2 linked regions of the Oreochromis niloticus genome follow. The protein of the gene in region 1 purifies or fractionates together with the protein of each later gene. This does not show direct contact. Links are inferred from orthologs where the notes say so. Each region holds a gene or a part of one and is shown on either strand. Other genes may lie near its edges.

What was found. The genes of interacting proteins can lie anywhere in the genome.
Region 2: the proteins of polr2h (region 1) and polr3e purify together in Homo sapiens (affinity purification with mass spectrometry; 3 studies listed by BioGRID and IntAct, with this or other methods). This does not show direct contact. The link is inferred for Oreochromis niloticus from reciprocal best matches to the Homo sapiens genes POLR2H and POLR3E.

Annotation. Positions count from the first base shown.
Region 1 is NC_031980.2:34,412,757-34,423,016, forward strand, and holds polr2h (DNA-directed RNA polymerases I, II, and III subunit RPABC3), read left to right. Parts: upstream 1-6,156; 5' UTR 6,157-6,190; coding exon of another isoform or gene 6,191-6,265; exon of another isoform or gene 6,266-6,354; intron 6,355-6,613; exon of another isoform or gene 6,614-6,854; intron 6,855-7,113; exon of another isoform or gene 7,114-7,317; intron 7,318-7,739; 5' UTR 7,740-7,759; coding exon 7,760-7,832; intron 7,833-8,256; coding exon 8,257-8,340; intron 8,341-8,802; coding exon 8,803-8,896; intron 8,897-9,058; coding exon 9,059-9,142; intron 9,143-9,364; coding exon 9,365-9,482; 3' UTR 9,483-9,736; downstream 9,737-10,260. Other genes in the region: lisH domain-containing protein ARMC9, read right to left, coding at 1,450-1,485, 2,189-2,287, 2,605-2,762, 3,327-3,351, 4,758-4,850, 4,966-5,121, 5,489-5,659, 5,869-5,994 and 1 more. UniProt on the Homo sapiens protein: DNA-dependent RNA polymerase catalyzes the transcription of DNA into RNA using the four ribonucleoside triphosphates as substrates.
Region 2 is NC_031973.2:9,905,194-9,915,321, forward strand, and holds the start of polr3e (DNA-directed RNA polymerase III subunit RPC5), read left to right. Parts: upstream 1-6,068; 5' UTR 6,069-6,297; intron 6,298-7,025; 5' UTR 7,026-7,091; coding exon 7,092-7,130; intron 7,131-8,453; coding exon 8,454-8,504; intron 8,505-8,662; coding exon 8,663-8,740; intron 8,741-8,984; coding exon 8,985-9,100; intron 9,101-9,183; coding exon 9,184-9,266; intron 9,267-9,409; coding exon 9,410-9,517; intron 9,518-10,085; coding exon 10,086-10,128. Other genes in the region: eef2k (eukaryotic elongation factor 2 kinase), read left to right, coding at 358-562, 1,331-1,389, 1,624-1,701, 1,911-1,967, 2,180-2,245, 2,753-2,884, 3,112-3,300, 3,440-3,564 and 2 more. UniProt on the Homo sapiens protein: DNA-dependent RNA polymerase catalyzes the transcription of DNA into RNA using the four ribonucleoside triphosphates as substrates.

The DNA of each region.
Region 1 (10,260 bases):
AGGAAGAAGTCTGCATCCTTCAAGAAAAACATGATTTTCATGCAGGACAATGCTCCATCACACGCGTCCAAGTACTCCACAGCGTGGCTGGCAAGAAAGGGTATAAAAGAAGAAAAACTAATGACATGGCCTCCTTGTTCACCTGATCTGAACCCCATTGAGAACCTGTGGTCCATCATCAAATGTGAGATTTACAAGGAGGGAAAACAGTACACCTCTCTGAACAGTGTCTGGGAGGCTGTGGTTGCTGCTGCACACAATGTTGATGGTGAACAGATCAAAACACTGACAGAATCCATGGATGGCAGGCTTTTGAGTGTCCTTGCAAAGAAAGGTGGCTATATTGGTCGCTGATTTGTTTTTGTTTTGTTTTTGAATGTCAGAAATGTATATTTGTGAATGTGGAGATGTTATATTGGTTTCACTGGTAAAAATAAATAATTGAAATGGGTATATATTTGTTTTTTGTTAAGTTGCCTAATAATTATGCACAGTAATAGTCACCTGCACACACAGATATCCCCCTAAAATAGCTAAAACTAAAAACTACTTCCAAAAACATTCAGCTTTGATATTAATGAGTTTTTTGGGTTCATTGAGAACATGGTTGTTGTTCAATAATAAAATTATTCCTCAAAAATACAACTTGCCTAATAATTCTGCACTCCCTGTACATTAAACTAGCAAGCCTAAACGAGAAAAAAAATACTATCCTCAAAAATACTTTATGAAGCTAAGCAGGTATGTTGACATGCTTAAACCACTACATAACACTGGTTTAAAGTAAAGTTTACTGCTCATTTTTTAATGTTTAACTATACCTAAAAACAACAAATATGATATGTTGACCCTGAGTGCCTGTTTTTAAGGTTGTTAAGAATCCTACATGAAGTGTTCTTGTTGTTTCCTTTCAAACAGCTGTAATATAACCTGTCCTATTTGAGAACCTGAGCGTGCGAGTAATCCTTTTAAATCAAAGCACCCTGTGATGGCCATTCTTGTTCTGTCATTTTATATGGCTATAATCTAAAAAACAAACAAAACAAAAATAACAATAAGCATAAGAGAAGAAAAATGAACCTGAGAGATAAGTTGAGAGCTAAAAGCTCTAAGGAGAGTTGAGAGGAGGAACAATAACTGTCATCTTTTGGGAGCGAGTGAATGTCATGATTACGTATGCCCTGAGAGACGTTTGTGTTTGCCATAACAAGCGGTCTGACAAAAGGTGTCATCCTTACTGCTAATAAAGCCAAACATACTTTTAAACTGGGACAATCTAGTGGGAGTGCACATGTAGTCAGGAGGGTGAGATGAAGAAATATGTTAGGAGGTCATGAAGGACATACAGACAATAACAGGAGGAAAAGGGAGACACCAAGGCAGAAGCTAGATGAGAACTGGGGACCTGAGCAATAAGAAAATGTAAAGATGAAAATATATGAAACTTACATAGCCATCATCATAGGGACTCATAGAGTAATATCCCTTTGGGGACAAAAGCATCACACAAGCAAAAAAACAAAACAACAACAACACACACAAAACACAGAAAAAATGTTGTTCAGTTCAAATAGAAAGAAACAAGATTTCACAAGCCAGAGGTCAACACCACAATGAAGGCCGCTGACAGCAAGCATGATTGTCAAGCTGTGGACAGTTTTTTAGGTCAGTTGGGAACTTTTCTACAACGTTTTGATTATCGGTGGCACAAAAGAGGCAGAAAAAGAGGCTGAATAACAGTTTTAATGTAACAGTTAAGTTTTAATGTAACTCTGACTCATCTGGACACCTTTAACTGTCGTCTTTATGGGAGAAACATAGTTACATTTCCAAGGCAGATGATTACGTAAATGTCTGTGACTGGTTATTAGAAATTTGCGTCATGTACATTTGACTTTACAACAATGAGTGTATTTATTCAACTCCAGGATCCAGGAACCACTCACTCTAGGATGCACACAACAGAATGACTACACAGCTTACACAAAAAGAACAAAGATGTCTTTTTGTACATAATGCAAACACTCCTTAAGTGCACTTTTCCCTGATTGTGGCTCTTATCTCTTCACCGTCTGCTATGCATATTCTATGCTTTATTGAAATCACATTAAGTTGGGGCCAGGTGTTGCTGTTACTATTCTGAGCATGAAGAAGAGGGAAGGAGTGAAGACTGCGTGCTGCGACTCACAGTGCCTGGCCTGGTGAAGTCCGTGCTCTGCACCACACTCTGTCTCATCTGGCTGCTGAACAGGCGAACACACATACTCTGCAGGTACTCGGGGGAGATCTGAAAAAACAAGGCACACTCCCCTGAGCTTTAAAATACTGTTCGTGTGAGAAGAGCAGGGTACTAATAGTGTATTCCTGTTTTCCAAATATTAAAATCTTTTCACATATATTTTTCATCCATTTTGTGCATCAAAAGATTTTCTTGTTGGCGCTCGCATGAACACCGCTGGACTTTGCATACGCAAAATTTGTGGGTTTTTTCTGTGCGCACGCATTCTTTTCTAACATTCTTTTCGTGCCACACTTATGTACTCCGTACTTGTTGCACGTCTGACAGAATGTGTGCTTGTTTGTCCCACAGTTAGCCTGCCTTACCATCTTTCCGCTGGCGGTGGCCTCCAATGAGTCGACCAACTCAGCAGTGATTCCAATCAGGTTGTGGTAGTCAGCTTGCATCTTGTTGAACTTCCGTACGTAGCTGGTGATGCGGCGATCCGATTCAGCCAGCTGGAGCTGTAACTGCTGTGTGGCCTCTGTGCATTCACCAAACAAACAAACAGAAAAAGACAGAGACTGCTGAAACCAACACTGGCTTACAACCATTAGGTGAAAATGCCTGTTATCCTTTGAGATCTCAAGAGCCTCATTTAAAAATTAAACAATATTCTGAAATGCAATTTTTAATCAACCTCTCCAACACCAATCTCAGCATTGACTTTTCTACTAACATTTATCAATACTTAACATAATGTCTTTTGTCTATTAGTGAGAGCACTGTGAGTGTTATTACGTAAATAATACTTTCCACGTTAGACAAATGAATCAAACCAAAACCTAGGCAAACAGATGTATAATCGGTGACGCTGATATGACTTCTTTATCTGTAGTATTACTGTAGTTACTTCTGATTAATGAGCAGGTGTGGCCTTGAGCCTTTGTTCCATTTGAGATTATGAAAAGTTGAAAGAAAGCCAAAAACTATATCACATATTCGGGGGAAAAATGAATATCTGGCACTAAGAAACAGCTGTTGGGGTAGGGGTGAAGAACTGCAAACTGAATGCACAAAAAGGTAGACTCTGTGATGGGGTAATTACCTTTAGTACTCCTTCCACTCTCCTTCTGCATGAAGCTGGTTAAAGATCACATACTTAGAGACAAATCAAACATTTCTCCTGTATTTATTCCCTTGTTAATTGTTTTATCCAGAATTACACACAAATGAAATAATTAGTAACAGGACTGCAGATGGAACTAGTAAATATCTGAAGCCTCAATTATGCTTTCTGTGTCCGCTTGAGTCCAAGTGACGCAAATTTCATCATGAGATGCTGAGCGTGGTCCATGCGGACATCTGTTTTCCTGAAAGCAGCACAGACTTTACATTACAATGTACCAGATGTGCATGCACCCCAGGCGGCGGACGACAAACAAGGACAACTGGTTGTGTTCCTGTTTTCACTTAAGTACCCTATAAATGTCATGTAAGCACATGTAAATGTTGTTAATTGGCTGAGCCAAAAAACGCTGATGCTCAAGTGTTCCCACTTTTGGTAACCTTGTTAATTTTGTATACACTAGAAACATTTTTTTCAGCCCTTAGCATTTCATTTTACAAAGCTCTGAAAGTTGGCCAGTTTAGTTTCACAAACATGTACTGAGCAAAGTCCATGTGGTGGGTTTCCAGTATCCCAATAATTCCATTACCTTTGCCTGCCCTTCTACTCTGAGGAGGTTAGGATAACTTTGTTTCTTTCGGTGCATTAGCTGACTTGACAAAATCTAAAACCCCGGTTGGGGTTGTCACGACGATTGTTATCAACTTTCTCTTTTAGGCCAGGTTTTGTGTTTCAGATTGTGTGTGTGTTCTCCAAAAAAGTGCACAGTTTGAATTACTGTAACTTTACAGTAAGTAGTAAGTAAGTAAAAATGTGGCAGTTCCAGATTATTTTAAATCAAAACTGACTTTTAGTTCAACATAACTCACTAACCAATCAATCTCTCTTTGTGGTCCACCTCTCAGGTTGTCACATGATCAAACATGTTACAAGAGACTGGTTGTTAAAGAATTCCTTATTCACCTACAGAACATATTTTTACTCTACATTTAAATGTGCAGTCCAGCTAAAGAAGGCAAGTTTTTTGCTCCTCGTGGGTTTATGTTCTACACATCATATATTCCCTCAATGAAATTGCTAGATTTTTACTATTTGCTAAGTTTTATAACCTTCATTGAAGGCTGTAAAAACTACCTAACCTAATAATCTGCTTATGTAAAAAGCTGGAATTGAGAATTTAATTGACAAAAGTTACATTTTACTTGACAACCGTTTACCTGTCACGTGGGTTTGTGCAATGAATGAAAATAATAATTTTGTGACTATTAGTTTGAGATGCCATCCTGTTAGATATATCGCTAATGCCATCTCACTGAAATCAAAACAAGACAGACACAAATCCATTTGTACATCTGTACTCTGATGGTTTTCCCAGCAATGGCTCATTAGTGAGGCACAGTAGAAGGATACATATAAAGTCATCAGCCTTGGGCTGTTAGATGGCTTAAGTATCACTGACAGGAACTGCTCCAGCTTATCTCTCAATTTTGGCATCCAGGAATCCTAAAACCATAAAACACAAGCTAAATATGAAATATGATGATGTTCATTCTCACAGTGTGACTTAGTAACTGTACTAGATGGTAAAAAGCAAGGTAATATTCTATAAGTGTAATACCTGGAACAGTTCTTTGAAAGATGGGTGGACAGTTGGGTTGGGAACAAAAGGCAAAGCATAGTAAGGCAGAAACTCTGTGGTCTGGCTCAGAGCTTCTCCTCGAGTTTCCAGGTACTGCTTGAAGAAGGAAACCCTCTCTTCAAACTCAGCACGGTCCTTGAGGTAGATTTGAAATTTCCATCAAAAACAATTCATGAACAAAATTTTTAAAAAATAAATAACTAAATCAGGTAAGCTTAAGGGGTCACTTAAGAAGACGCAATACATCTTCAATTATGATTGCATGTTTTGCTAAAAGAAGCATAAGGTTTTTAAAAAAAAAATCTGTATAAATAAATGAACTCAAAATCCAATTGACTTCATGATGAAAGGTATTTCACACTGTAAGAGATCCACAAAACTGTTGCCGCAGAGGTGGGAAAATAAGACTCTGGCGCAGCTTAGTGGACATATGAAAAACAGCACATAATGACATAAGTATTAACATACACATACACATATAAATACACATGTAAATACATACATGTCCTACAGGGTGCCTCCTCAGTGGGTAGATTGTAAAGTGGATGTAAAGGTAGAACTCCAGTCCCTGGGCCTCAGCATCAGTGTCTTTAACTCTGGGGGGAATATTCTCTGTCCACAGTTCAAAGAACACCCTGTGGTCTCCATCATCAAATGAGCTTAGAAGGTCTTTCTACAAAAGTCACATTTTTTGTGGTTTATCGCACAGTAATAACTGAGTCATGATATGTACATGACTATTACAGACCGTTACAATTAATACAGATACATCAATTTGAAACTTGCTTTGAGGTTGCAATATTTACATGTTAATTACATTTTGTAGTCAAATAGTCTTTTCCACATTTTCCCATCACACCTCCACAAAAAATCAAAGTGTACCTGAATGACACGTGTCTTTGAGTCATTGAGAGTATTCCCTCGAGGCTTTGAGGCGAGTTTGCCTTTCCTTTTGCACTCCTTCTCAAAACTGTGAAGAGTCTCTTCAAATTCTTCAAATTTAAGGTACTACAAACAAAAGAAAAGAATACAAATAAACACACGTGACACACCACCTCAATCAGAGCAGAATGTAACTATGCTTTCAGTCATCTATGCATAGTTGTAGAAACGCTATATATAAAAGTTGTACATTTCGATTACTTCACTTCTATTAATGCTCACTGCGATTTGCATATGGCAATTTACAGAAAAAACGTCCTACCTCCTTAATCATCCCAAGAAGATCGGCTTCATTTGCCAAGATGTCCCCCATCTTGGCTGCCTCCCTGGAACTCATGTGAGTACCGAAAAGCTTCAAAATATCCGACAGCAAAGAGTCCAACTTTCATTCAATAACGTTTTCGCCCCGAGTTAGCATTTTGCGGTCTGTTTAAATTGGACAGCACAATCGTTTGAGCAACACACACACTCTCACACACACTCACACAGAAAAAACATCTACAGAGATACAACTGATTGGCAGTTTTACTTTAGAATCTAAAATTCAAGCACATTTGCATTAAAAGTGAATTATTTTCAGCACAGTAAGACATCAGACACAGCGTCAAGATGTCACAAGCTAGCTAATAAGCTAGCTCATCAATTAACGTTGTGTGACATAAAGAGAGCACATTAACATCATTACCTCGTTCGCATATCAGGTACTTGATGAATACATTTCATTGACCCTTCCGAGGCGCTCACGCGTAGAACCGTCCATTTTTGTGAGGATTTGTGGTCTTGAGTTGCAACTTAAGTTAGTTAGATAGCCATTCGCTAGCAACAGTACACAGACAGGACGCTAAAAAACACCTAGCAACCGAATAGACTGGAAAGTAGAGGCAAATGTCGTAAACAATGACGAAAGGATGCTATTTGGTTCTTAGGTATTCTTTGCAGATTATTGTTATTTTCTTTTCCTCTTTTTAACCTTATAACAATAATAAGGTATCTCATGAAAACCTTTACTTTTTAAACTAGCTGGAAAACCTATATTTTTTTCTAATATTAACGTAGAGAAAGAGCAGATAGGCAGGTATTTTTTTTAATTATGCGTTTTATTTTTTGTCTGTGGTTGAAAAAAATCGTCTATCTGTCTTTATCTAATTTTGTTATATATTTACATTTATATCTTTTCTTTCCGTATTTCAAACCGGAAGCACTTTGTATGTCAAAGGTTGAGCACATTGTTTCTGCGCGGTACAGTCTGTTTGGGATAATAATGAATGAAATTTTGATTAAATAAGACATTAGCGCAAAATTAAATACTCGCTGTCGCAGTCTGAAAACCCGAGTGAACGCGACGCCATTGTATTTACAGTATAATATCAAAACTTTATCGTATTTGAGGTAAGTCTTTGCAATCGTGTGGCCAATATGCTAAGGCTAACAATTAGCATGAATGAGAGACGCTAAAGTTAAAGCTTAACCAAGACCATAATACTTTGGCTAACTGATTCAGCAACAACAGGTATTAGATTACTGTTACATGTTACAAAAACAAATGCACGAAATATTAAGGCTTGAAAGGGTTTTTTTAAGTTGTGATACACAGTTGTCTCATTAATGGGTCATTGGAGGTTAGGATTTTTGAGATGTAGTTATGCACAGAGTACACAGAAAAAACAGTAAGCAAACTCAAGTTTCTGTAAATTTCAGTGAAGTGTGTTTGTTGTACTGGCAGGGTGGGTTGCAAGTCTTAGTAACGGTTTTAGTCTAATAAATGTGGCTTCATTTCGTGTTTTTGTCTTTATTTTTCCCTCTTTTTACAGGTTGACAGACTTGGAGAGAGATGGCTGGAATTCTTTTTGAGGATATTTTTGATGTAAAAGATATCGATCCAGATGGCAAGAAGTTTGACAGAGGTGTGTGAAGTATTATTATAAAAGAAAAATGTGAAATTATAACACCAACCAACAGATAATGGCTTGTTTTAAAAAATTCTAGTCTGTACTGCCCTACTAGTAATTTCAGACACAACGGACAGATTATTAGCCGTTGACCCACACTCTTTTAATGTAATATCATCTTGATATAGATAAAGTTTAATTTAGAACCCAAGTGCAGTTTTTTTTAGTGGAAATGTATTGTGGAAAGGGATCTGATAAATATTAAACCTTTCAAATACATGAACACAACTTCTGGCCAATCATGAGCCAGTCTAACTTTCATTATCAACAAGAGGCATTATTTTAGTTATTGTTGATCTTCTTTAATGTAATTTAATTTAAAAAAAACAAACAAACATATAAATTATCTAATAGAAACTCTGCAACTGTTATTCTACAGTATCTCGCCTCCATTGTGAAAGTGAATCGTTCAAGATGGACCTCATCTTGGATGTGAACATTCAGATCTATCCTGTTGATCTTGGTAAGAAAAAACCTTTTTTTGTCCCTGTGTGTCTTTGTGTTTCTTTTTTTTTTTAAATTGGAAGTCATTTGCTAGTTAATTTTTATCAAATACAATAGTGTAAACCGGCCCTATATACAGTATAATTATAGCAAATGACTATGTCAGCTTTTTGGAATATTTCATCAGAATAAACTGGGACTCTTTAAAAGTAAAGATTATACTGTAATACTTAAAAAAAAAAAATATGATTGCTTGTTAATGTATCCCCTGACTCCCTCAATATTTGACTTTTTCACTTGCAGGTGAGTTGTGTAATAGCTGTATATTAACATTTACTCAACCCAAAGGAACCCAGCTCTATAAGTAAACCTTTAGCGAAAGCCTTAAAGAACCATGTGTCAGAGTTGTATCTGTAACTCAAAGTGTCCAAATGCAAAATATGATAAAGCCTGTTTGTTATAATATACCTGTTTCATTAAGGTGACAAGTTTAGACTGGTGATTGCCAGCACGTTATATGAAGATGGAACACCAGACGATGGAGAGTACAATCCTCAGGATGACAGACCGTCTAGGTAAGACAACTGCTTCCAATTTAAAGTTTTAATTTGTGTAACTCTAGCAAAAAAATGCTGTTTTGTTGGCATTTTTAACAATAATAACATCGTTAGTACTTTATTACACCTATAATTTACAAAATGACTTTCACACTCATTCCACTTTGTTTAAATTTCCAGGGCAGACCAGTTTGATTATGTGATGTATGGGAAAGTTTACAAGATTGAGGGCGATGAAACTTCAACAGAAGCTGCCACACGTCTGTAAGTGAAGTGCTTAGTTTTCTGAAAATGACTATATGTCATGTATTTACTGAAATTCATAACCTGCTGGAACAAAACTGTGTTTCTAACAGAGAACATGACCTTTCTGTGAAACTATTTGTGGAAATGAGATACCTTTTGAATTTGCCTGTGTGATAACCTTTCCAAACTCTGCTGTTGGTTTGTGCTATTCCAATTTCTTGTGTGTTCTTCTTCTTTCAGCTCTGCTTATGTGTCTTATGGAGGCCTCCTCATGAGGCTACAGGGGGATGCCAACAATCTTCACGGCTTTGAAGTGGACTCCAGGGTCTACCTGCTCATGAAGAAGCTGGCCTTCTAAAACACACCTTTGGTCACCCACCCATGGTTCACCAGTCAACCTTAAAATTATACTGAACTGAGTACTGAAAACATGCATATTTTCAGGTCTGGAGAATCTACAAGGAAGCTGTTGGAAACTTTTATTTTGTTGATTTTCATTCCTCCATCAGGATGGACTAAAGACTAAACACTGTGGCACATAAGAACAGCTACCGACTCCACCTGCAGACAAACTGTAAATAAAGTTTTCTTTTATACACACTGGCATGTTTATTCTTAGGTTTATTTCCTTACATCGTAGCAGCTGCTCTCAAACAAACATTTAATTATCCTTGTACTCGACAAGAAGGGTGAGTCTAACATTATTACACAGGCATCATGTGTGCAGCTATAATTGGGATGGAAGATGGTTCTATAAAGAAACAGTGCTAATTGAATTAAGTAGCTCAGAGAACAGTGAACCTTCAGGTTTGTAATTACAGTTCCAATAAATCTGTTTGCGGTTTTTGGCTCCATTTATTCCCCCCGCAGACCCTAAATGGGCCACTTATCCTCAGCCTACTCACAACAGCAACAATGCATGTTGGCTGATGTCATTCTGACTGCACAGGAGGCAACAAGGGATCCACAACCACAGAGCAAAACCTTAAGCATGTGTAAAAGGAGAAACACGCATAATTAATGCCTAAAGATTAAAGATTGACTCTCCCTAAAAAGAAAGATTAGGAAACTTTAAAACTTCCTTTTAGTTTTAGGAAACTAAAAGGAAGATTTAGCAACTTTGAATAATGTAACCC
Region 2 (10,128 bases), on another chromosome or scaffold:
TTGGTTGGTTTATTACCTGGAAACAACCATCAGTAGCAAATTGATGTGAGAGCGAATCACTTCCTGTGTGGACTGGGTCAGGTTTTTTGTTTTTCTTTCTTTTGGAAAGCCAAACTCACAAAAGCTTCCTCTTGCACTTGTCCTGCTGAGCTGCGTGGCTTCCTCATTGCTGCTTGCAGCTGTATCTCACTTTGTTCACAGTTTCCATATTTAGGCATGAACGTCTGCTGAAAGTTTATTTCCTGGTAGAAGATGTTGGTCTGCGGCTTAAAAGAGCAGAGAACAAAAAGAAAGAGAAATTCTGAGTTCTTCCTCTTTTAATTTTCATATTTCTTCCTTATTTTTTTTTCATTGTAGAAGTCAGCCCAGACTGTGCTGAGAGGCTCAGAGGAGCACTGCGGTTCTCCTCGTGTTCGCACCATGTCGGCCAGCCGGGCGCCTCCGCTCCTATCCCGCCTGTCTGAGACCTCGTCTGCAGATGAGAGCATGAGCGACATGGAATCTATCCCCTGCTCCCCTCTTATCCTTCCCTGCTCCCCCCCAACTGCAGCTGGCTCTGTAGGCAAGTTAGCAATCAATACATGCAAGACCAATTTACTACAATACCACGCAAAAATGTTACTGTATATAAAAGATGGACGTAGGTTAGTAACGTCCAGTCATGAAGCTCTTGGTATTTTAAAACGGGATGTAATGAGCGAGGAGTGAATCAAATGCATAAACCAAGGAAAACTATAAAACGCATCGTTCCTTATCACTCTATTTGATTCTAATTGGAACCACATGTTTTATTTGATTTATTAAATGAAGCTTAAAAGTAGTGATAGAGTCCTTAAACCCATCAGGAAAGTGTTTACTGAGATCACAAATCATGTGAGCAGAGACTTCTTTATAACTGGAAAGTTTTTTTACAACCAGAGGAGTCGCCCTTGCTGGCTAGTATAAAGAATGGCAGGATAAGGCAGTAGCCATGTCCATCTTTCATATACAGTCTATGTTGTGATTCATTCTCAGATTTGGTATTTTCCCATTTTCTCGCTATTTTGAATGAATAGAAGCATTCACACAGACAGCTACATGTAAATGAAGTGCACTAAGAGTACTTGGTGCAAAACAAGAGGAACCAATAATCCATTTTAAGCAAGAAGGAGGATTTCAGCATTGACAGTACTCATGTTGAGTCGATTACTGTAGACATTTATGTTGTTGTATGTTACTGGAAATTTGCTAACTATAAGGTATCTAGATTGAGATACATGAGTATTCAGACATCACTTACATGCTGAGGAGCTAAAATGGTGTGGTTTTGCATATTATTTCCATTTTACAGGCTCGTCTTTTACCGGAATGTATGAACACGACAGAATGAGCAACACAAGCGAACACAGGGTAAGTAAAAACTGACGGTGAGAGTGGCTCTAAACAGCACAGACAATTAAAGAAAACACATTTAAAAAACACAGAGCACTGCATCATCGCACCCCCAACCCCAAGCTTCACATTGATTAACAGCATTACTTATATTATTTAAAACATTATTGAAAACTATATCTGTGTATCTGACTTGTTGACAGAGGTTTACCACCAGGAATCAGAATTTCTTGTCTTAATTTTTGTCTTTAGGAATCAGAAAACGGCGGGGACAGCGGCTACCCGAGCGAGAGGAGGAGTGAAGGAGACCCAAATGACCACATAGACGGGGTAAAGATTTTTGTCTTTGTTCAACAGGAATGGAAAGAGGAAGCTTTTAGTTAAATAAATGTATTTTTCCTGTGATCTAAATCCCGTTTTTGGATCCAGTTTGTGAACGTCCTCTTACAAGCTTCGACATGCCTCATTGATGCACTTATTCAACACTTGTTAGATTTCGTGACAGCTGGTTTTACAGTCCATGTCATATTGTCACATAGATCCATCATCGCTACAACAGGCAATATTCAGAGTCGGATGAGGAAAGTATCAGACGGGTAAAGAAACATAAATATCCCTAAATCCCTTCCTCTCCTCGTTCTTAATCATCATCATCATCATCATCACCACTGTAATCAAATAACACTACTTTAATTTCCCTTTTAACATCATCTTTACTTTTGTTTTCCCATCACTTATTTAACCATGAAAGCCCCTCCTCACCTCTCCTCTAATTCCACTCCTCCTACTCTTTGTTTCCTCTCACTAGAGGAAGATGGTAGCTCCTCCAAGAGTCTCTGCAAACTTAAATTTAAACACTCCTGACAACGAATGGGTGATTATTTGCATGGAAGCTCCTGAGCCAGGTGTTTCCCTGTGCAGCGCTTTGCAGTCTTTTTTTTGGCCGTGAAGCATAATCCTTGCCTCCAGCATGATGGCTCTGCTTTTCAAACGGTTCCGATTTGTGTGGATTGAACTCACTGTCGCTATTTTCCTGTTGACGCCTGCTTTATTTATTCAGTGAACGAAAACGATCAGAAAATACAGAATAACTGGAGATAAAAAGTGATACTTGGAACTGAAACACCATCGACCTCCTTTACCTTCGCCTGCTCTGCCATCCCGCTTATTTTCACCTCTGTAACTGTGTGTGTCTGTGTGTGCGCTCCTTTTGCATTAACAGGGGTGTACTCCTCCAGCTCTGAGCTCAAAGCAGACTTTCCTGGACGGGTACACCTCTGAGACTGCAGTGTGACTTTTCAACCATAATATATTTCATGCAATGAATATCAGATGGTAACTTTTTTTCTGTCTTGGATCTTTGGCGCCTGTTTCTGTTCAGTTGACAGAGGAGAAGTGGACCTTCTATCACTCATCCCGCGCTCACGTCCACCGACCTTCCTGTGTGGCCACCGAGGTGGAACGACTCAACAACCTGCTGCAGAAGAAGATCGGCCAGTCGATTCTTGGAAAAGTAAGAGGAGGAAACATTAGTTAATTTAATGTTTCCGTGCCGCTATTTAACTCTGGTCCCATCAACACTAAAAACACTTACATTGTTACCATTTTTGATATATTTCTTTGATTCCAGCAATAAAAGGCAAAGCATTCTGTTCAGTCCAAACTCCTCCTATAGCAAATCAAACACAATGAGGCAGCTCGACATGCTTCACGCGCTTATATTCTGGATCTCCCACCCAGGTCCACCTGGCGATGGTGCGGTACCACGAAGCAGGTCGTTTCTGCGAGAAGGACGAGCAGTGGGACCAGGAGTCGGCCATGTACCACCTGGAGAGAGCCGCCATGTGTGGAGAGCTGGAGGCCATCGTAGCCTTGGGACAGTGCCTTCTGCAGCTACCTCATCATATACTCCCAGACATGGAGCTGGAGGTACTGTGCGCCATCTATTTTCCTTTCTACTGTTCAGCTTAACTTCACAAGTGTGGCTTTATATTCTGATGTGTGTGTGTGTGTGTGTGTGTGTGTGTGTGTGTGTGTGTGTGTGTGTGTGTGCGTGTGTTGTTGGCAGGATAATGCAGGAAACAATATGAGAGGTTTCAAGTATCTGCTGCAGGCTGCTGAGGCTGGCGACAGATCTTCTATGATCATAGTGGCCAGAGCCTTTGATACTGGAGTCAATCTGTCTGCTGACAGGTGAGTGAAGGTTCATTCAAAGCAGATGTTTCAGGTGAGACATAGGAATCCTGCTCCAAGGGGATGACTTTACTCGATAGTACTGCCCTCTTGTGGCCGGTTGGATTTTTACAGTTTCTTTTTTTTTAATTGGTGGTGATTTGTGAGTTAAAGCATTTTATCCTCTTGCCTTCACAGAAAGCAGGACTGGGCCGAAGCGGTTCACTGGTACAACAGTGCGCTGAACATGATGGACTACGACGAGGGAGGAGAGTTCGATGGGACCCAGGACGAGCCTCGCCACCTTCTGCTGGCCAGAGAGGCAGAGATGTACCAGGAGGGAGGCCACAACCTCGCTGCAGACCCACAGAGAGCAGGTTCAACCCGAGTGCAGAATTTTAACTTCAAGAAATCCTGCACCAGTTTCTGTCTGACCGTTGTTTTCCCAGTGAAGCAGTAGGGCTTGTGATTTTGATCTGTGGCACGGAGAAGCTTTAGTCTCACATGATGGTCGTGGGGTTGGTGTTCATTTCTGTTTGGTGGAGCGACTGCCTGTAACATCTCATGCTGTCTCTCTCCTGCAGGTGACCTTTTTACTGAAGCTGCAGAAGCTGCCATGGCGGCCATGAAGGGTCGACTGGCTAACCAGTACTACATGAAAGCCGAAGAAGCCTGGGCACAAATGGAGGAGTAACTCCACGACATAAAAGAAATTAATTTTAACCTCCAAAAAGGCCACGAGACTTGATGTGTGGCTGTTTTTCTTTTTCTTTTTTCTTTTCTTTTTTTAACACATTCTGGGTAAAACCTGAATGACTTCAGTTTACATTACTGTTTTTATGACAGATTTTTTTTGCTGTTGGTGGTTTGTTTGTGTGTGCGTTTGATGTGTGTTGAGCCATTCAGCATCAGACTTATCTTCAGAATTCTTTCTGTATGGTTGTAAAGCTAGATTTCCTGGCTCCTCATTTCTTTCATTTCATGTCTATATTAACCTTTAGTTAAGTTAAGTTAATGTGATTCTACGAATGAAAAGGTCTGACCTATCAAAAAAGATTTACTTATTTTGACCCAGATGTTAACATGTTTATGTTTAAGAGAATATATGTGATAAAGAAAAGTGCTTGGAATATGAAACTGTAAAATAAAAGTTTGCCTTTCTTTTTACCAATCATGATCCTGTTGTGATTTTTTTCTAACTAGTGGAAGGACTCTTGTAACCTAAAATTAGGGTGTATTGTATCATAACAGAAACAATTTACCTTAGTTTTTTGCACCATTAACTAAAATAAGTTAATTTGCAGTCAGTTTGGTTACGGGACAAAAGAAAACAGTGAAATGCTTCAACTCACTAGTCTTGGTTTTCTTTGCACTTTTCTCTGATCCCAGAGCTCAGAGGTATGTCACCACTTTGCCAAGTCCTGGAAGAAGACCCACATTATTATCCTCAGATGAGAGGAAAATTGGTCGGTGTAGTCGGGAACCACCAGATTTAAAGCTTGCCATGAACTCCAAACTGCTGCAGTGCAGGTTTTACATCATGAACTGAGAGGAAGAAAGAAGCCCCCAAAATCAGCTTGATAGAATTTTGCAGTGTCCCACATGGGCAAGCCAAATCCCTTATTGAAAGAAATTTGATGGTCAACTAAGAAAAAGATCGAGCTGCAGTATGTCATTAATTGACCACAATGGCAAGAGGCATGTTTTCAGAATAAACATGAGGTTTTCAAACAGATGACGTACAAACTGTCAAGCATGTTTGAGGTAGCATCATGCTCTGGGGTATACTGCACAAAGTGGATGAAATAATGAATAATTACTTTAGATTCAGTTCAAATTAACAACTAAACTCGGACACAACTGGATGTTCCAGCAGAAAAATGATCCAAAACACACATTAAAACTGACTTTACGCTTTTGGAAAAGCCTTCCCAAAAGCCCCAACCTCAACCCCGATGAAAATTTCTACGTTTTTACACTATTTTTGTTGTATTAACAGCAGATCCACTCACACTAGGAAGCTGAAGAAGCTGATTAGGAAGGCTGACTCTGTGCTGCAGACGTGATTTGAAGTTAAAGTCTGTAACGACTCCTCTCTGTCTATTGAGGACACGTTTATCCTCTTATTTGCTGCTGCAGTCTCAAAAAAAGAACTCAATAGAAGTGCAATAATTGAAACTTTCTATTTTTAATTGCCCAGGAGACTTCAGGGTATATTTTGCATGTCCTTGGATTTTATATTACATTATTTTTGTCTCAACTCCATTTAAAACGGGTACAACCCAAACTTTATAGTCAGGGGGCTTCATATTCGCTATTAGCCTCTGTTTCGATACGTCGTATCACAACGGTAGCGTGGCCGAGCGGTCTAAGGCGCTGGATTAAGGCTCCAGTCTCTTCGGGGGCGTGGGTTCGAATCCCACCGCTGCCAGGATACATTTTTTTCCCGTTCTATTCACGAAACAATCTCATCTGAAAACTTAAATTGTCCACAAATAATACCTAGGGGTAGTTGGTAATGAATAAAAAAGCGTACAAAAATAATGACACAAGCGCATAGCGGACTCGCTGTGCATTATGGGCGCGGGCTCCTCCCCACGTGTCTGTGTGGAGCAGAGTCAACATGGTATCACATCGGCAGTAGACTACAGCTGTCTTGAGTTAAACTCCACTTCAGCAGCAGCTCTCTGCACCACGTTCCTGGGCTAGCTACACCCGGATGAGATAGCTAAAGCTGAACGGTGAAGTGTGCAGGTGAGGGAGGAATCTGCTATTCTTACATAAAGAACATTTAAAATCAGGCCCGCTGATTGAATCTGTGTTATTTTAACTAAGCACGCCATGCTAAGCTAGCTCACGCTAGGCTACATTTGCTAGCTACCGCCTTGGTAGCTAATGTCGTTGCTTGTACTTTTGTTTACAGGAAACAGATCTTCAACTTAGTGCTGTGTATCCTATCTTCTTTATATTGGTGTTGGTTTTTACATAGGAATAAAAAAATCACCCGCTGTGTTGTGTAGGCCTGTGATAAATGCTCACAGGGTTTGCTGCTAATGGAGCTAACTTAACCATAAACACTCTATATAGTCAGCCAGTAAATTGGCGTCATACGGTTTTTTTATTAGCTTGACACAGTGTTTGATAGGGTTATGTTTCTACGAGGAGGAGTCTTTTACTGCTGTGTTGCATCATGTGGATTTTACCTGTGTGTCCGTGAAAGCATCACATGACAGGTTACCATAGGAAGTTGACTACTTTAGCGTCTTATGGTTTACTTGTTGGGTTAATTGAATAGTATCGGCTATTACCAATACTGACACCTCCTGACTGAACTGTGATGTAACTGTAATGTGCCGGATCACTAAGTTCCTGTCATCTAGTGCCTCTGTTGCCAGTCTGGGTGTAGCCACTCCATAACAGTAACAGGAATGTGCAGCCGGACGTTTAGCTCCTGTAACCCAGTTTGTCTTTTATTTTTCCAGGTTCCACCCCCTTCCCCTCTCCCCCAAGATTTGCCCCTCTCACCTTCTTGCTCTGATCACATCAACATGGCCAGCGGTGATGATGATGACCCCATTATAGAGGAGGTATGTTTACAGGCTTAAGTGAAAGGATATTATACGTCTCACTGACCTAATCAAGTATGATACAGCATTTTCTCTGCCCTGTGCACCTTTTATTGCTGTTCTGTGTTTATCAGTGTGAACACAGCCTCACGGGCAGTAAACAATTCCCAGGTGTTTCCCATGCATAGTCTCTGTTAGGTGTATTAACAGGTAATAAAATCACCTGGCAGCAAATATCAGCATTTATACTCATGGTTGTAGTGAGAAGTTTACATACAGTCGTCATCGGCATGACTGTCGTGGCAATTTTTGGCTTTTAATTATTTCTTTGAAGTGATCATTTTCCAGGGTGGAATGATTGTACAGCATACATATTTAATTACTTTAAATATGTACTTTAGTAATTGGTGCTGAAGGTTCTGCAGTGCCTTTTCACTTGACAGGGACAAGGTTCATTAACTTCTCATTAGTGATCATGGCTTGACTACTTCTGGCAGCTGATTTGTCAGCACAAAAAGGATTTGTTTGAGCTAAGTGGAGACAGCTGATTTTAATAATCTATTATTTACTTGGTGGCACGGTGGTTAGCTATGAGGCACTCCTGCCTCTCAGCAACAAGGTCATGGGTTCGAATTTAGTATCTTACTGTGGTTTTTGCATGTTCTCTTAGAGTACTCGACCCTCAGCCCAAAGACATGCCCGGACTCTGTCTACATAAACACACCACAAAGAGATTACAGGCGTTACATTAAATTATGCAGATTAACTGCTAACTAAGTCTGATACGATGTTTAAATCAGGCAACTTGCTAAAGACAACTTTCATACTTTGTCTTGCAGTGATACCTGCAGCATGCAGAGGGGAATCTAAAGAGGGCATGGGGTGTACTGAGCCATATTTATTTAAGGGCTCTCCTAACAAAAATTTTTAGAATCAAGGAAAAAAGATTGCATTAATTAAATTTTATGAATATTTAAAATATAAAAATAAAAGCTTTTTTATAACATACAATGGCCAGGAAAACTCTGAGCCAATGACCTGTGGCTGTTTGGTTGGACACTGAATTATAATTAACACAAATTATTAACATCTACATCACCATAAAGTCAGCACAAACACTTTGGATCAATGCAAACTGAATTACTTAAATATTCAAATGCTGCAGCCCTACTTGTCTGTCTCTCTGTGTTAGCCCTGCGACAGACTGGCGACCTGTCCAGGGTGTACCCAACCTCTCACCCTGCTATGACCCTGAGTTGGGGAACTTTGGAGGAAAGTCTGGTTTGGCTGTTGGCTCCTTACGTCAGCCTGTTTGACTTTGATCTACGTTTGTGTTTTTTCTAGATCGACGTGTACCTCGCCAAAAGCCTTGCAGATAAGCTGTATCTTTTCCAGGTGAGCTTGTCCCTTTGTAGTACCCGTGCGCTGATGAGCACGACCTCACGAGCCCACGTGTGAGCAGTTTCTCTAACTTATCTGCACCGTCTGGGGTGGGATTGATGTGTAATGTTCAAAGAGTCACTAATTGAGTTCACCGCTTTCCCTTGATGCAGTACCCTGTGCGACCAGCCACCATGACCTATGATGATGTCACCCACTTGGCGGCTAAGATCAAACCCAAGCAGCAAAGGGTAACCAAAAACCTGATGTTGATGTATTTTGTGTTTTGTTGAAAATATGTTTCCGTTTCAGGGGAGATGTGTGAATAGGATAAATTTTTAAAGTATTGAATATCACCAATTTCTCAAGTTAATTGGTTACATCAGGTTAAATTATAAGATAAGATTTTTTGTATTGGAAGTTTTCAGAAATGTTGAAAGTCATTAAATCGGGTGTTTGTAGTTGTTGATCATTTATGTACGGCTCCTTATACAGGTGGAGCTGGAAATATCCATGGACACAGTGAGTCCAAACTACTGTCGCAGTAAAGGAGAGCAAATCGCCCTAAATGTGGACGGCACGGGTTATGACGAAACCAACACCTACTCTGCGTATGTCCGTTTATTTATAGACTCTTCTTTGATTCAGGTCCTGTTTCTGGTCTGACTGTTCATCCCCCCCCCCCCATTTCTAGTAAAATTATGGACAAGCAGACCTTCTCCTCCATCCAGGCCACCACCAACACCTCCAGATACGCAGCTGCTGTGTTTCGCAAAGGTCTGACCTGATTAACGTGTTCAGCAGCCTGTGCAGTTCATTGTGGCACCATGTTTGTGTTTTGGCTTTGTTTTTATCTGTTTAATCCTACTCCAATCAGAGTAGGATTTATGATCTGGTTGTTTTATTGATGGCGTTAACAGGTGAGCTTCACGTCACACCTCTGACTGGAATTCTTCAGATGAGGCCCAGCTTCTCTTACCTGGACAAGGCTGACAACAAAACCAGAGAGAGGGAGGCGGCCAATGAAGGTGTGCCTGCTTTTCCTGTTTTCCAGATTAAATTCTGAGATGGATTATTTAGTATACACAGTTTATCTTTTGTTTGAAAACTTTAATTGTTTACTCCTAGAAAACCTTGATCTTTCCTGAACTGAGTGATTTTTGTCATATTCCACACCTGCTTACAGAACAGACTGACTGTGAGTGAATCAGAAGTTAGTAAGGATAGTTTCTGCCTATGCAGCTAGCCTTGGGGAAAACCCCAGAAACTCTTCACTGAGGTTTTAAACTTTTCTATTAGGGTACAAGGGAGGTTGCCAAATGTCATCCTTACTGGAGTTAAGATTGTTTTAAAATCAGATTTTAGCTGTTCTTTACATTTTTCCGAGGGGCAGTTATATGAAACTGCGACTGTTGTGGAGGTCGACACCAATAAGCCCTCCACAACAGTCCCAGTTTTTTAATATTTGCCCTTTGGAGAAATTAATTGCCCATCCCCGCTTTAAAGTATTTTACGTTTATTTTTAGATGTTTCTTCAAACATCATGGTAGGAGCAGGTATGATTACAGTTATTTGACCAGAGTCTTGTGTGTACAGGTGGAGACTCCTCCCAGGATGAAGCTGAGGAGGAAGCCAAGGC